Linked DNA regions of Caenorhabditis elegans. The protein of the gene in region 1 interacts with the protein of each later gene in a pairwise test. Each region holds a gene or a part of one and is shown on either strand. Other genes may lie near its edges.

What was found. The genes of interacting proteins can lie anywhere in the genome.
Region 2: the proteins of frm-2 (region 1) and gfi-3 interact in a two-hybrid assay, tested with the Caenorhabditis elegans proteins (one study listed by BioGRID).

What each region holds. Positions count from the first base shown.
Region 1 is NC_003281.10:5,975,726-5,984,167, forward strand, and holds frm-2 (Moesin/ezrin/radixin homolog 1), read right to left. Parts: upstream 5,592-8,442; coding exon 5,544-5,591; intron 4,795-5,543; exon of another isoform or gene 4,659-4,794; intron 4,139-4,658; coding exon 3,983-4,138; intron 3,749-3,982; coding exon 3,644-3,748; intron 3,589-3,643; coding exon 3,464-3,588; intron 3,419-3,463; coding exon 3,321-3,418; intron 3,265-3,320; coding exon 3,144-3,264; intron 2,648-3,143; coding exon 2,398-2,647; intron 2,290-2,397; coding exon 1,951-2,289; intron 1,715-1,950; coding exon 1,280-1,714; intron 1,224-1,279; coding exon 1,131-1,223; downstream 1-1,130.
Region 2 is NC_003284.9:14,478,847-14,486,162, forward strand, and holds gfi-3 (Protein gfi-3), read left to right. Parts: upstream 1-1,725; 5' UTR 1,726-1,727; coding exon 1,728-1,838; intron 1,839-1,888; coding exon 1,889-1,989; intron 1,990-2,039; coding exon 2,040-2,162; intron 2,163-2,351; coding exon 2,352-2,541; intron 2,542-2,590; coding exon 2,591-2,682; intron 2,683-2,724; coding exon 2,725-2,821; intron 2,822-3,165; coding exon 3,166-3,344; intron 3,345-3,403; coding exon 3,404-3,520; intron 3,521-3,565; coding exon 3,566-3,708; intron 3,709-3,771; coding exon 3,772-3,835; intron 3,836-3,889; coding exon 3,890-4,021; intron 4,022-4,067; coding exon 4,068-4,178; intron 4,179-4,224; coding exon 4,225-4,339; intron 4,340-4,430; coding exon 4,431-4,675; intron 4,676-4,726; coding exon 4,727-4,967; intron 4,968-5,284; coding exon 5,285-5,626; 3' UTR 5,627-5,856; downstream 5,857-7,316. Other genes in the region: M163.11 (ShKT domain-containing protein), read left to right, coding at 532-605, 665-1,051, 1,096-1,263, 1,314-1,410; M163.8 (ShKT domain-containing protein), read left to right, coding at 6,575-6,654, 6,714-7,047. UniProt on the Caenorhabditis elegans protein: Probable component of the anaphase promoting complex/cyclosome (APC/C), a cell cycle-regulated E3 ubiquitin ligase that controls progression through mitosis and the G1 phase of the cell cycle.

The sequences.
Region 1 (8,442 bases):
TTAACATTTAGAATTTAATTGGGAAAGAACTATAACTTTGGAGAAGGGCCACCGCAGCCTTGAATTAAAAACAAATTATTTAAGAAATTGCTGAGAGCACTAAAACCCTGACTACAAGAAGACCGCTGCTCGCATTGAAAATTGGCACTGTTTTGTATAACATCGGGCAATTTGAAACAAAAGAATATGACAACAGAAAAGACCGCCAAGAGATCAAGAAACTCTTGGAAGAGCCTATAATTTCATGCTTATGCAACCATAAAACCTCTATATCAGAGTTGCCTAGTAAGCTATTTGCTTACTCGAAAGCCCTACAATAGCCAATATCTGCGCAGATATTCCGATAAAGTGTAAAGGTGTAAAAATGGGGGACCACGACCTAAAAGTGTACTAGCGCCCGGGAGGGAGGTCACACAAAAATGTAATAAAAATCGGGAGGTGTGGTGAAGTGAAGAGAGTTGATGAGGGGGGTCAGTCAGTCAGTCTCTGGTTCCAATTAGTGGATCGGAGATATCTCTATGTCTACGTCTCTCGATAGTTATCATACAATCATCATCACTTTTCCAAACATTCCACATTCAAATTCAGGATAACGTGTGGAAGTGGTGGCTTCAGATGAAGTCCAGTGAAGGGAAGGAGGGCAAAGTACTTACACAGAACACAGTCTGAATTGATCGAAAATCGGAAAGAAATTGGCTGTGCTCAAAACGATCGTCAGTGTTTGTGTAGTGAGTGGGGGTGGCGGGAGAGCATAAGATTTTGTTGGAGGAGGAAAGGAAGGAGAATGAAGACAAATAGTTTCTCTGGTGGAAAAAATGCAAAAAAGTGAAAAAATGAGTGAGAGAAAACAGGATGGAGGGACTGGATTTCAGAGGGGAATATCCCGATTGCACTCGAGCCGGTGCAAATAGACACACGTGGAATGAAAAGAGTGACCAGATTAGAAGACTCTAGCACTTTTCAGGCAGGAGCCGGAGTTTTTGGGTTTTTCGAGAAAATACGAAATTTTTGTATCATTTTATAAAGTGCGATTAGAAATTATCTGAAAATGTTATAAGAAAGAAAATCATTTCATTATATGAAAAATGACTGAAAACAACAAAATAAAGGCTGCAAATGTAAATACATTATCAAAAGTCTGTGACAATTCTCCGTTGATGTTGCATTGGGGGAACAATACGAGATGGCGGAGCACATCCATTTTGTGAATATTTTCGTGGCTCCTGGAAAGTTTATGGAGTATTTGAAAACATACTGTCCATCAATAAATTTAACTTACTTCAAATTGAGTCTGCATTCGAACAGCTGGTTGTGGAGGTTGTGAGCTCTTCCGCTGCTCCGATGCACTGCTCATTCTGGGAATTTTCGAATTTGACTGATGAGCTGGAAGTGGTGGCGGATGTGAGAATGATGTGGATGTTGAGACAACTGGACGTGGAATATATGAAGATGGGGCAGCAGAAGATGATGGAGTATCGAGATTTCCAATTGTTCCAACTGTTATTTTAGTTACATGTGACAGATTATGAGAGGATGATGATGATGATGATGAAGGTGTTAAAGGATCCGAAATAAATGGATTACTGTTGTTTACTGGTTTTTTGAGGTCTGGAGATGTTGGTAATGGAACGTTTTGAATTATTGAATGTGGAGAAGTTGGATCTGATTTTGCATGGGTTCGCTGTTGATCATTGGCTCTTTGTTGCTCAATTATCTGGAAAAAAGTTTGTTTGCATTTTTGAGTTTAAGCTAATTCAGAAATTAAAAAATTTTTAAGTTTTTTAAAAAATTGTATCCGACTTTCCAAAAATGATAGGTTAAACCTTTTGAACTGACTAGTGAGCAAAATTTAAAATTGAACGTTAGATCGATGCCAAATGTTTCATGAATCGAAAAATAAACTCTAAATAATTACTCCAATTTTTGTTGAATTTTTAGCGTGAAATGTACCTGTTGCCTCATTTCAGCTCTCTTTGCATCCCTAATTTGTGCATTTGTCACATGACTTTGCCGTGGACCATATCTCTGACTAGGTCTTCTTTCAAATGAGCATGATTGTCTTCGTGATAATCTTGCTCCTTCCTTATGAATTGTTTCATATTCTGTCCTGCCTCTATACTTAAATGTGCTTCCTAACCGGAAGAACTGAATTTTGCGATTCGCTTGGATTGGGCGAGATTTGAGGCGGAAAAATGCGTGTTGCTCGATGGCACATTTCCAGAAATGTTTTGCCGCTTTTTCAGACGTCAAGTGAAAAACGAACGTGTGCAGCTGGATTTGGCCATTGTTCTGAAAAAGTTACTATTTTTAAAGTTATTTTGCACATTTTTTTCAATTAATAAATTGTACAAAACTGCTACTCTAATCTTCATTAAACTTTTCATTAAAAAAACTCACCGATTGATCAGCATCCTCCTCGACAACCAGTGTAATTTTCTTATTTTTGAAATCCAATTTTTGTAGTTTTTCCCATAAAAAGAGTCCAATTTTCTGTGGACCATCAAATACCAGCATTCCTTGTGGAGTTAAACCCAATCGATATGTATTTCCATCTTTTCCTTCTACAATATGCATATCTACTCCGTACATTTCAATCCATCGTGCCTTATTCAAGTAGTTCAACTCCGCTTGAGCCGGAGTTTGTCCACTGAAAAATGTTATTTTAGTTTTTAGATTGAGAAGCATGAAATTGAAAATAAAACCAATTAGGTAATTTTTTTCTGTCCGAAATGTTTTTATTTGAAACTTAGGCAAATACTGCAATTTTCAAATAAGTGTATTTTTTGTTCTTTAAGATTGAAATTATCAAACATTTGTTATCAAATTTAAAATTGTATCTATGTAGTTTTGATTCTCAAATAGTCAATTTCCTGATTGAAATATTTACGTCTAACCAAGTTTCTCTCAACTTTCAGGTGTCCTCTAATTTGATCCAGCAGAAAATCCCGGGTTTCACACTGATTAGAATATTGATTTCTGGCAAATACCAGAACAATATAATGCATTTCAAAAATTGACATTTTCGGGAAAGTAATATCAAACTCTAAAAGGTTTTCCAGTTTTTAAATTTTTAGACTATATTTTACATGTGCTGTAAAGTTTTCTAACAATCTTTTTTTTAATTTTATAACAAAAAAACTTACCGGCACGCTTTGTACCTCTCCAATATCTCGACTTCCATTTTTTCATCTTGCTCCGGATGAAATCGAAATTCTGAGATAAAGAGGGCTGTATGAAGTTCTGGGTTGTAATCGCCTAGTTCTGCTGAAATTTTTTATGTTTAAAATGCTTAATTTTTTTAGAATTGAAAAAAAACTCACATTGAAGTGCAAAAGCAGCTAGTTCAATTGCTAACTGATGTGGACATTGCAGACGTCCTGAGGAGATATCTTGTTTTATTTGCAAAAAGAATTGATACCTGCAGAAATTTATTTTAAAAAAATACATTACTGATTAAGTATACCTTGTAAGCTCTTCTTTCAAATTGCTAGAAGGTTCCGAAGTAAAGAATTTAACACGAAACCGAAGAGTAAATGGAGGTCCAATTGCCACTTGTTTTGCAACTTTTTTTGTAGGGTCTAGCCAGTGCTGGAAATATAAAAAGGTTTGAAAAAATAAAATAAAGAAATAATTAAATGAATACCTGAACATTGAATGGATCTGTGTACTGCAGGCCAAAATAGTCCCTCTCTTCTAGGTCAAGCGAGTAGAATACTTCTTCGTAAAGTTCACTTCCTACAGCGTTTCTCTGAAAATTTATATTTTGAGATACTAGAATGGATGTTCGAGAATTATAAAAACTTTTTAAAAAATAATTAATCTGCATATGCAACACATTTTGCCACTTTTTTTATTCGCAATAGGTTTATCTATGATTTTTGACTCCATTTTTCTTTGAATTTCAGGCACTAATTTGCCAAAATAGTTCTACAAGAACCGACATTTAATAACAGTTATTTTCAAAAATAAAAAGACCACTCACCGGCACGACAATATTTAAATGTGCTCCATCAAGCAGAAGCACCTTGCACTGAACAAACTTTTTCGTATCAAAGCTTGCATCCTGTGTTTGTGACTTCTGTTGCTGTTGACGATTCCGTGAGAATCTGGCTGATAGACTTCGCAACATCCAGGACATCTGAAAATAACCAAAGAGTTTCTAAGAGTTTAAACCAACTTCTGGATTTGTTTGGCACACAGCTCTGGACTTTTTTAAAAATTGAAACTGTTGATTAGTATTTTTAGAGGTTAACATTTTAATTTAAAAATATTTCATAAACAAAAAATATTTTCAATTTTAAAAAAATCTTTTAGTTTTTGTTTTACTTTCAAAATTGAGAGATTAATTTTGCACATTAAAAAAATTCAAAAAAAACCAAAACTTTACACAACCCAAATTTTTAGAGTTACACTTGTTAGGAGCTATATTTTTTGAGCAGTACTCCAAAACGTCAATGAAGCTAATGATTATATCAAAAACGAATCAGAAATGAACTTTATTAGTGTTTCGAAATTCATATTTTTGAAAAAAAAATAGTAAGAGGGCTCTTACCAAATCAGCTCTTGCAATAACTTCATAGTAAAAAGTAAAACACAAAACAATTCTGAAATTCAACTTTTTATAATAGAAATACAATAAAAGTCAATCAATAGAATTCGACGATTTATGGCGAGCCGGCTGGTTGCCCGGTGCACCGATGTCTGCGTCTCACTATAAACCACTCTATCTCTCTGCTCTTCCCTCTTTTGGCCGGTTACGGTTTTGAACAGAGATGAAGAGCAAACGTAAATAAAGATGAAGAGATCGAGAAAGATGTAGAGACGCAGACAAAGAGATGCGTAAATTAACTTGAGGTTTGATCAATGTTTATCTATATTTTGTCGTTGTTGGGAATGGTATATGGGAATATCTAAAAGTGAGTGTCCGACCGAATCAAATGAATTGGAAAAAAGTAACATGTGTGTGCGCGCAAAGCATCTGTTGCACATCAGGGTCAGCAAAAGAGTTCATTTGGAGCAATAGGTACCAGATGTGGAGCTTTTGGAAAGAGCACCGAAAGAGAATACAGAGAGCAAAATGAAGCTTAGGGACACAGCTAAATTTGAAATGGCACAGGTTTATAAAAACACATTTGCACCAAAATAAGATTTATTGCGTCGGTACATTGGCTGTCTTACAGAATTTTTGAAGTTCTCTTTTCAAATTGCATTTTCTATGCAGTTGTAATCTTGCAATTAAATGTTGCACGACTGACCTTACTACAATTGTGTCAATTTTCCATTTTGTGTGCTCACCCAATGAGCATACAAAATGTTACTTGAATCATATTTTATGCTTGCATGTTACATCTTCATGATTTTAATGTGCTCAAGTCTATATTTTGCAGCATCAAACACTGATGTTCACGCCAAAAAGCTTTTAATAGGTGGTAGGCAGGCATGTAGGCTTAAAGATGACAGTTTTCCAACTCAAATAAACATAGATGTATTCAGTTGGTGAATCGGTAGACGGTAAGTTGCATTAGATTCAACCGAAAACTCACATCTTTTGGCTCTCTTTGAGAGTTCTCATCTTCCTCGTCACTTGACATAATAAAGAATTTCTGTTAAAAACTTAGAATTTCAAAATAAAGTCGAATGGCCGTTTGACTCTTCGAGGGTGAAAAACGAAGAATGGACACAACTGATAATCAGCTGCAACACTCGGAGTGTTGTGTGTCCCTTCTCTTATTCTTATCACTCTTTTTCTTTTCGTTCGATTCTTCTTCTGCTTTTAATGTACCCTTTCTCCACCTACTTTCCTATTTTCAGATTCAGAATTTTATGTTACGACGTGTTTTGTGTGTATTTGTATTACATACGGGGTGTCGATTTTTTGAGGAAAAGTGTCCTAAAAGCTGTTGATATTTTGAGTGAACCGAGTGTGTTGATAAGATGATAAGCGAGGAAAAGGGGTGATATAATCGCAAGTGATGACTGATGACTATTGATAGAAATAAGGAAGAAATGACTCGCTTGGAGGTCATCTCGAGAATCTTCTAGGGATTGAAAAAAAGCTTTGGTAAATTGTCAAATTGAAAAAAAAAATTGTTGACAAGTTTTTGAGCATTGCTGCATGTTCTAACCCCAAAATGTTCAAATACAAATAAAACATATTTAAGATATATTAATAGTTGGACAAAAGTACATAATTGTCACTTTTTTTGTTAATTAATAATTTAAAAGAAAATTTCGAAAAACCTTACTTTTATTGGGAATTGTAATTTCAAATTTTTCGAAAATATGAGGTTATACACCCGAAACAAAACTTACTTTTACAGTCCAATCTCTGATCTTTTTCAGATGTTTCTAAAAAATAGGTGCTCAGCGAGCCGCTGCTCACCGGATATCGTTCGTTTTTTCTGCAAGATTGACAATTGGTTAGTTGGAAAAAGAAGAATCAGTTGAATAAATAGAACGATGCAAAACGGCTGAAATAATAACAAAAAATACATATTGTGAAATATTTGGAGGGGTATGTGTTTCATGAACTGAAAAAGGAAAATAATAAAAAATGAGAAGATTGATACTAATATCCCAATTTATTTTAGATAGAAGAACATTAGAAAAAAGGTCGAACGAATCTTCCAGAATTTGGAAATTTACAAATACGAACTGGAATTTGAAAAAAATCATTTGAATAGAGTATTAATTTTAAAATTTTTATGTACATAGATACAATTACTGAAAAAGTGAAAATGTTTGATTCAACAATTATTCAAATTGGTACATCATACTTAAACTAAAGTACAACAATACTAATAAACAATTCGTTATTATAAAAACAAGTTTCAAATCATTCCTTTAGATTAGGAAGTTTAAAAAAGTGGCTGAAAATTTTGAAAACAAGCTTTAACCCCATTTTTTTTCTAGGTAAAAACAAGAAAAGTGAAAAAAATCTAATATCACAATTGCTTTTTTAATGAAAAATCTAGTTTTTCCTAGTCCTGCATTAACTAGTAGAGAAACTTTGATGTTTGGAAATTCGAAATTTGTTATCCAAATTTCGATTTTCGTGCTAAATATTTAAAACCAAAATCCAACTTTTTCTCGGAGAATAAATAAAAAATGAATAGATATATCATAAAAGAATAACTTAAGACGAACTTGGCCGAGTTAATCGAATCAAGAGGAACGTCCACACCTCCGAGATATCATGTGATTCTAGGAGAGTTTAGAGATGGATCAGTCAAAAAATGGCCTTGTAAAGCGGAAAAGACAGATGGAAAAGGTTGTAGAGACAGGCGGCTGTGTGGAGAAGTTGGAGGTAGGATATGCGAGAATAGTATATGAAGTGGAGAGATTTAGACAGAAATGGGACCCTCGAAAATGAAAAGAATAAGTGGGATGGGACTGTGCGCGAGAATTACAAATGTTATTCGAGTGGGTTGAGGAAGTGATGACTGTGAAAACAAATGGTAAATAAGTTTTGGAGTGAGAGGAGATAGAATTGAAACGCGTAGAGACGCAGGAATAAAAAGTGAATAGAAACTCTGTGTCAAGAAAAGAAATAGTTAACCACATGTGAGTGTTGAAAGTATTTGTTGAATAGAAGTGGATGTTTAGGTGAACAAGGATTTTATGAAAAAAGAGAAAGAATGTTTGAAGAGAAAATGAAAGTTTAAAATTGGACAAAAAAGTATACAGAAGGGTTACTGTATATCTAGTGAACTTTTTTTTCGAACTTTGGAATCGTATGAATTACTGTTCACTCCTGTTATAACTGGTTGGTAGCCACAAGATAAATCGTCGATCTGAGCTTTTTACCATATATCATCTAGAAACTTCCCTAATATTTACAAAATATAGATTTTATAATTCTATGCAGCCGATTGTTAATGAAATTCTCCATTTCAGACCACCCGTTTTTCTGTCTCGTAGGAAAAGTTGGTCCGTGCAGTTACAATCGAATAGCCGTTTTTAAACCAAAAAAAGTTATTTTAGCATATTATCTAAAAATTCTTTACAGTTAAAAAAAACCAATTCATAGACCAAAAACTATATACAAATGTACGTACAATATAAAAAATAAATCTCATTTTGTGGTTCTCTTCTACCAATTTATGCGGGTAAATGAGTAGGTTTGTGGTTGAGTGGGGAATGAATCCGAAATGAATGGCTTCTGTGTCTGTGGTCACACACACACACACAGAGACAGGTATTATAATTAGAGAATACAGGGGCAGGTGGTACGAAGAAAACAGATGGGAATACCCGGTCACAACATCTCACCAAAGGACACACCGTTTTTTGAATTAAATGAAACAAGGGGAAGGGGAGATCAAAGGATTTTAGGTAGGTAACATATGGACACTTGGACAATATTAATAAGATTAGATGCAGTTTTTAAAATACCGCAATACCTGATCTGATTTCTTCAAAATATTAAGTTTTTTTCCAAGA
Region 2 (7,316 bases), on another chromosome or scaffold:
AACAGAATATCCGAATTCTACAAAAGGATAAGCCCAATGCGGGGCTCGAACCCGCGACAACCAGATTAAGAGTCTGGTGCTCTACCGACTGAGCTAACCGGGCCGCGAAATTTGAAGATGATTGAAAAAAATAAATAGTGAAAAATGATATCGTTATCAAGAAAACGTAGCATGTGGCGTTTGACCTTCATCATTTGCAGACGCAGGTTTGCTGGTGTAATATCAATGGGAAAATGAAATAGTTTTCACCGATTAAAATTTTAACTGTAATAATAATTATTATTGGCTGATTTCATTAAAACATAGTTCAGAAATAAAAATTCATTTGTCTTTTTAAGATCAGCAACTTTATGATTCATATGATCGAGCGCAACTTGTTATAGACCTATGTATTCATTAATAGTTCCTCCTCTAGGTGCCAATGCTTATTAGGGGTCAAAACGTTGTGACAGTTGTTCAAACAGGAAACAGATCGGATAAAAGTTAGCCAGTGAGGGCCCACAGAACATTCAACTTTCAACTCTCACTACCATGAACACCTTCTTCGTTTTAACAATTGTTTTCTTTGTTTCAAGCGCTGAAATGTGCTCCGACTCGGCTTCAAAGTAAGTTACAGATTATTTATTCAGTTTGAAATTTGAAATTTCATTTTTTTTTCTTCCAGCTGCGCGAACTGGGTTGCCAATGGGTTTTGCACCTCTACATTCTACACTACCGCTCAGAAAACCCAATACTGCGCATCAACCTGCTCTTTGTGCTCTGATTCTTCAGATTCTAGCTCTTCATCGTCCACTGCTTCTACAAGTTCTTCTTCGTCCACAGCTGCAACGTCCAGTGATGATTCTTCTTCATCTTCTTCATCATCTTCCAGCTCCGCGTCTTCAACATCTTCTTCAGACACAACAACAGCTGACAGTTCTTCTACTACATCCTCTGATTCTTCAACAACCTCTTCCAATTCTTCATCATCCACTTCATCCTCAGATTCCACATCTGTCGTATCTTCTACATCTTCCTCAACCACTACCACATGTGTAGATTCTTTTTCCACGTAAGACTTGATTATTTGCCACTTGCAAAATAAAAACCTTCTAGATGTACTTCCTGGGCTGCTAATGGATTTTGCACTTCTTCCTTCTACACTACTGCTATCAAAACTCAGTACTGTGCAGCTACCTGCTCTCTGTGCTCTTCTTCCAGTGACTCTTCTTCGTCGAGCTCTACCGCTTCTACATCATCTAGTTGCACAGATTCAGCTTCATCGTAAGATCAATCAATTCTACTGACTAGCCTAAAACAAGTTGAACTTTCAGATGCTCATCTTGGGCGGCCAACGGCTTCTGCACTAACAGCTTCTACACAGATGCTCAACGTGAACTCTACTGTGCTAAAACTTGCGGATTATGCTAATTTCATCGTTCCTCTTTTATTGTAGTTTGTCTCTAGTAAACTGAATGCATATCAAAACCATGTCTTCATAATATCTGTTGTGTGTTGTTTGAGAACGGGCCATACCGATGAGAGAGTGCACAAAATAAGAGAGTTTTCTCTGCTACATGGTGTGTCCTCCCGCCCGCCCCTCCTCCACGAGAAACACGCCAGCAAACCAATAATGCGCCTGCAGCCACCGACCTGCACCGATCCCTCTTCATTTTTTTGAATTTTAGTCGTCTATTTTCTAGTATTACCTTTAAAAAACAAGGTTTTTATATATTTTTTTTCCAGAAATGCAGAAAGCGGCGCCGCGGCCCATCATCAAACGGAGTTATCTCAACTTGGATGCAATTTTCGGCCATGTCTTCTCAAATTTGACAGGAGAGCCAGTGACTCCAACAAAAGTAAGTTTTTTAGTTTAGAAAACCTTCAAAGTACTAAAAATTTACTTAAGATTGCAACGTTCTACCTTCTTCGCATTCTTTTTCAAACACACTTTGGATTCCGTCACAAACGTGCTTACTACAAACCATTTAGCCCCGCCGAAAAAGAACGGTAAGTAGTTTGGAAAAATTTTAAAAAAAGAAACCAAATTCATGTTTTAGAATCTTCCATTGGCTGTATGCATTGATGACGTCAGTCGTGGAGCTTTCTTATAAGGACTTCAGAATTGTCACTCGACTTGCATTTGATGACGGCCGTGAAGTTTGTAAAAACTTTTATGCAGCGTAAGTCAAACGATTTTCATTTTATACAATTAAAAAAACATTATAATTTATTGTAAACTATTATAAAAACTAGTCAAACAATTCGACAATAAATTAAATGCAATAATGTTTCTTAGCTCGATTTTCTGGAGCATTATAAGCATAATCAATAATACAAAACAATCCGCTGGCATCTCTCCATTCTTTCAGTATGGAGAAAATTGGCGCCGGAATGGCGGATGTTACTCTTAACGTTGAAGATGAGTTCTACACCAACAAGCACCCAAAGGATCCGAAATTGCCAGCAAATGACACTGTACATGAAGCTATGGACTTGGCGCGCGGAGACATTATCCAGTTTTCTTCCAATCACTCGTTTATGTACAGATGGATGAAACGAGTATGATTTTTCAATCGAAAAAATTTGTTTCAGTTTGATTATATTTCAGCTCCTGGCACAATACACCAAGTCAACTCCTTCAGAAGTGTTCCAGATAAATGCAGCCATGAAATCATGGGTTTTGTCTGCTGTTGAATCAAAGTAAGTGACGAAGCTTTGCTAAAAATACCGAAACTTTTGCAGATATCATCCCGAGTTCAAGGGAGAGTATCTTCCACACTTCATCGACTGTTCTGTCAGAGCAAGGGATTGGGTTGCTAAGAGCATTTACTTCATTCAGGTGAGATACTATTTGAAACTAAAACTCCCATGCGGTCGCCGAGCCAGCCTCACGTCGTCACCCTCGCCGCATGTACAGTGAAGCGCAGACCTCCGAACGTGTCGGCCGCTTCCAGCCCACCACCTTTTCACACTACGTTGCGCACACACCATGCTACTCATTTCACGCTGAGCTGCGGAACCCCGAACGTGTCGGCCGCTTTGAATGACTACCTCTCGAACTTCATTTCACACACACAGCGGCGCGCGGCGACGGCGTGAGGCCCGGATTTTGCGCCTCACTCAGCTGGGAGCTCTGTTTGAAACTGACAAAAGAAAAGTAATAATGTTTCCATGTTTTTACAGAAGAACCCACGTTTTGCCTTCCAATATAACGAGATGCTTCACTACACCCGGATCGTACAGAAGCGACACCCGGACGTTGTTGAAGGGTTCCTGCTAGAGGCCATTGTGCAAGTTCAATTGAAAGATAGCTCGTCGGCTATTAAGGCAATGAAATCGTTTTTCGAGTTGTCCATGTTTGAGTAAGTGTTATACCGTTATACCGCCACCGAGGTTTAAGAACAAAAAAAATAATTTTCAGACTAAATGAGAACATGGTGCATGCCGCAAAAACGCATCGATTGGCAGTTCCAACTCAAACCCCGTTGATGTATGCACCGATTCTTCAAGCCAGAATTTGCAGAATATTTGGAGACTAGTAAGATATATCAATAAAGAGTACATAAATATTCTCATTTTCCAGCCAAATGGCTCGTCTCCTGCTCCACGAGAGTCTCCAACAAGCCCAGCTCCGAAATGATGAGATTTGCCATCAAATGGCCAACATCGAAATGCACACTGTCGACATATTGGGATGCAGGGCGCTGCTTGAGGATAACAATGAAAGTGAGCTCGTCTATTATTTTTTGAATCAATAAGAACTAAGACAACAACAAATCAAATTTGCAGAAACCGCTAAGCACATTGAAAATGAACGGCGAGTTCAGAGAAAAGCCTTGCTGCACATAGACGAGTAAGTTGGATTATCTACTAGTATAGAGTCATAAAACTAATTAGTACATTTCAGTCTTCACGGACATACGCGATCCGGGCCTTGCTGTCTAAGTTCTGAAGAAGATTTTGAGCTTGTCGCAGAGATGGACTCATATGGAAAAATGCTCATGTTGATGAAGATCATTGCAGAAGGAAACTATAAGCTGTGAGCATTCAATCAGAGACGTCGCTTTAACTTTCCAAATTTACAGGATCTACGACAGAGTTGCGGAAACCGGAATAACGTGTCCAGTCGGTAATGATCTTGGAGAACGAGGACGAAAAGTGGCTGCTTATGGAGCTGCTCTGATATCTAGTAACATGTAAGTAGCTCGTTGCAAATGGCCTAGAAACCATTCTGAATTTCAGGATTCATAATGGAATGTATCATCAAGCAAAGTGCGCCGCAGAAAACATGCTGGCAAACAATTGCAGAACCGATGAAACAGACCCCTTCCAGGCTCCTTTTCAGGCCGAACCTTGGGTAAGTACAAGTTAGAACTGTGACAAATAATAAATTGGTGCAAAATTTATATGTATCTAATGAAATTCAAGTATGATGTATCAATTTTCAGGCAATTGGTGCGGTAAACCTATCTTATTCACAAGCTGGAGTCGGAAACTACGACGCGGCACTAAGAACTATTGAGGAAATGCGACAAAATTATCCGGAAGAACTTTCTTGGCAGTCCAACCGTCACGTTGTCATTTGTGCAGCTGTCATCAACTTTGAAAGATTCTTATTGAAAAATGACTACAAGGCTTGTGCTTCTGAAGTTTTGAATCTCGCAGCACACTCTGAACTAGAATGCAAGCTTCGGTGAGTTGCAATTGAAAGTATTACCTCATTTAATTTCTATAATTTTTTTAGACAAGCTCTTCTCCTCGCCGCAGCCGGAAAAGAACGGGCAAGTGTTGAAGTGTTGGAGGGATTGAACGTTGTGGACATTCGTGGAAGAATTCGAATTCACATGCAAACAGGATGCATTTACACGGCTAGTCAAGAATTTAGAAAAGCTGCAAGAGAATTTGCAGACGCCTTGAGTCTTGCTGAGAACACCACACTGAAGGACATTGTGCCAATGGTCAAGAGAAGACAAGCAACTATGCTGGTAAGCATTTTATGTAAAGAAAAAATTGCATGAATTTTTTTACGCCATCTTGATATTTCACTGAAGAATCTACAAAGTGGAGCACTGTCGTTAGGGTTTTGAATCCGTAAATTTTGCGCTGCACTCCGAAAATTATTTTTTATTCAGCCTTAAAAATTGTTTGAAGTGAGATGTTTGAAAACATAAGGTATTGTATTTTTTATAGATGTCACCAGATATGTCAGACTATACTCGCTTACTAGTTAGATAAAATAAACGTTTTCTGAGAACATCGCATTTATCAAATGAAAAACAATTTTTAGAATCTAAATTTACAGATGTGCCATGGTCAGTATGTCGAATGTCTGAAACTTTTGAAAGAATGCAATGAAGGCATTGAACAGTTTGGATCATTTACCGAGAAGGCGTGCTACTACATGACAGCGGCCAGATGTCATCGATTGCTAGGGAAAGATCCGCGGATGTGGTTGAAAAAATCCCGTGCCCTGGTCCGCAACGGGCAATGGCCGGCGTTTACCAAGCTCGTCCTCTCCGAAATTGCTGCTCTTCATGACGTCAAAGGACTGATGCCTGATGAAAATCGTCTGTCGCAGATTTGTGAGCAATTTGGTAAACTGACTGCTGATTGTCCCGGCCGATGCGAATGGCTCCTCATCTGATGATGTTTCAAACCAATATTCTTGTACACACTTTTAAAGTGCTTCATTATCCAATCCCAAAGACCCCCGTCTGTTCTTACATTCAACGATCTTGTTTCAAAACTCAAACAGGTTTATGAGCTTCACAGTGTATTTTTACGAGTCTTTCTTGCTCTATTTGATTTTGAATTTATGAACTTTTTGTAAAAAAATTGCTTTTGAAAAATTGGAAAAAAAATTGAAAAGGAATGTTTTATTGCAATTTTTTTGATTTTATTTTATTGCAGATACCATTTGTGCAGTTTGAATGCTTCTTACCAAATGTCAGAAAACATATTTCTGGTAGCTAAAATACATTTACAACTGTAGCAAAAACGTGTTGTGCAAGTTTTTTAATAGCAATGAGATGTCTATTTTTTTTTAAATTAAATTGAATCATTATCGAAAGTGATTAATTATAGGAAATTACGAAGAATAGAAAGGATTACTTTGTTATTGGATGTTTTACATGTTCTCATGTAAATTTATTGCTAGCCAAACTTATTTGTTGTTTTAAAGCGTGACCTCATTGAATCAAACGTTTTTTTAAAGATTAGTAAAAAAATTAAAAATTAACCGGCTACTGAAAACCCCACCCCCGCAAAATTCCTATTTTGGGTGAAAATTCCGTATTTGCAGTGAAACAATGCCAACTGAAAGCATCACTCCAGTTACTCATGACAACTCAAATAGGATATGTGTACATAATGATTAATTTTGCTAACTTTCCATATCCGTTATAACAAATGCAAACATCGTTTTTGAAAATGGATACTGTTAGGATCAAACACCTGATGATCCCACCGATTTGGCACTTTAATGGATCAACTAACTTTTTGGAAAAGCTGAACAAACGTAAAACAGTTTTATAAAAGGCATTCTATCAGAACGCATTGTCAGAACACATTCAGTTTTTGAATTAAATCAAAAATGTCATCTACTTCTTTGTGCGTCTTGGCTGTTCTTATCATCTTCTCTACCGTAGAAATGTGCATGGATGTTAACCCAAAGTAAGTAAAAATTCAGCATTTGCAATTTTTTATCACTGCTGGAATTGATAATTTTCCAGCTGCGCTAACTGGGTATCCAACGGATTCTGCACCTCATCATTTTACTCTGATGCTCAAAAAACCGAATACTGCCCTGCGTCCTGTAGGCTTTGTTCGGGTGCTAGTAGCACAACTTCCTCTTCGGCTTCTTCGTCTTCTTCAACCTGCGGGGATAGCAACAGTAATTGTGCAAGCTGGGCTTCAAATGGGTTCTGCAACTCCACTTTCTACACTCCTGCTCAAAAAAGCCAATACTGCGGAGCCACTTGCAACCTTTGTGGTGGCGCTTCTGTGGAAACTTCTTCTGGAGTTGCAGCATCAACCACAGCAGCAACTGCTACCACTTCCGCCTAAATTGAATTATTTTTTGTGATTATTGAATGTAGGTAGCAAGCAATAAAGCATTCATTACTTTTAATACGTTCAATTTGTGGAACAGCAACACATTTAGAATGTTTTTTAATTTATTATTTCGAATTTTAATTCAAAAATAGTTAATATTGACATTACTTTAATTTAAAATTGTTTCATTTCAGAACACGGTCTGAAATTAGCTCATCGCTACTCAAACTCCACATGAAGAAAAAACGTATAAAGGAAAACCAAGACAAAATGTTCAAATT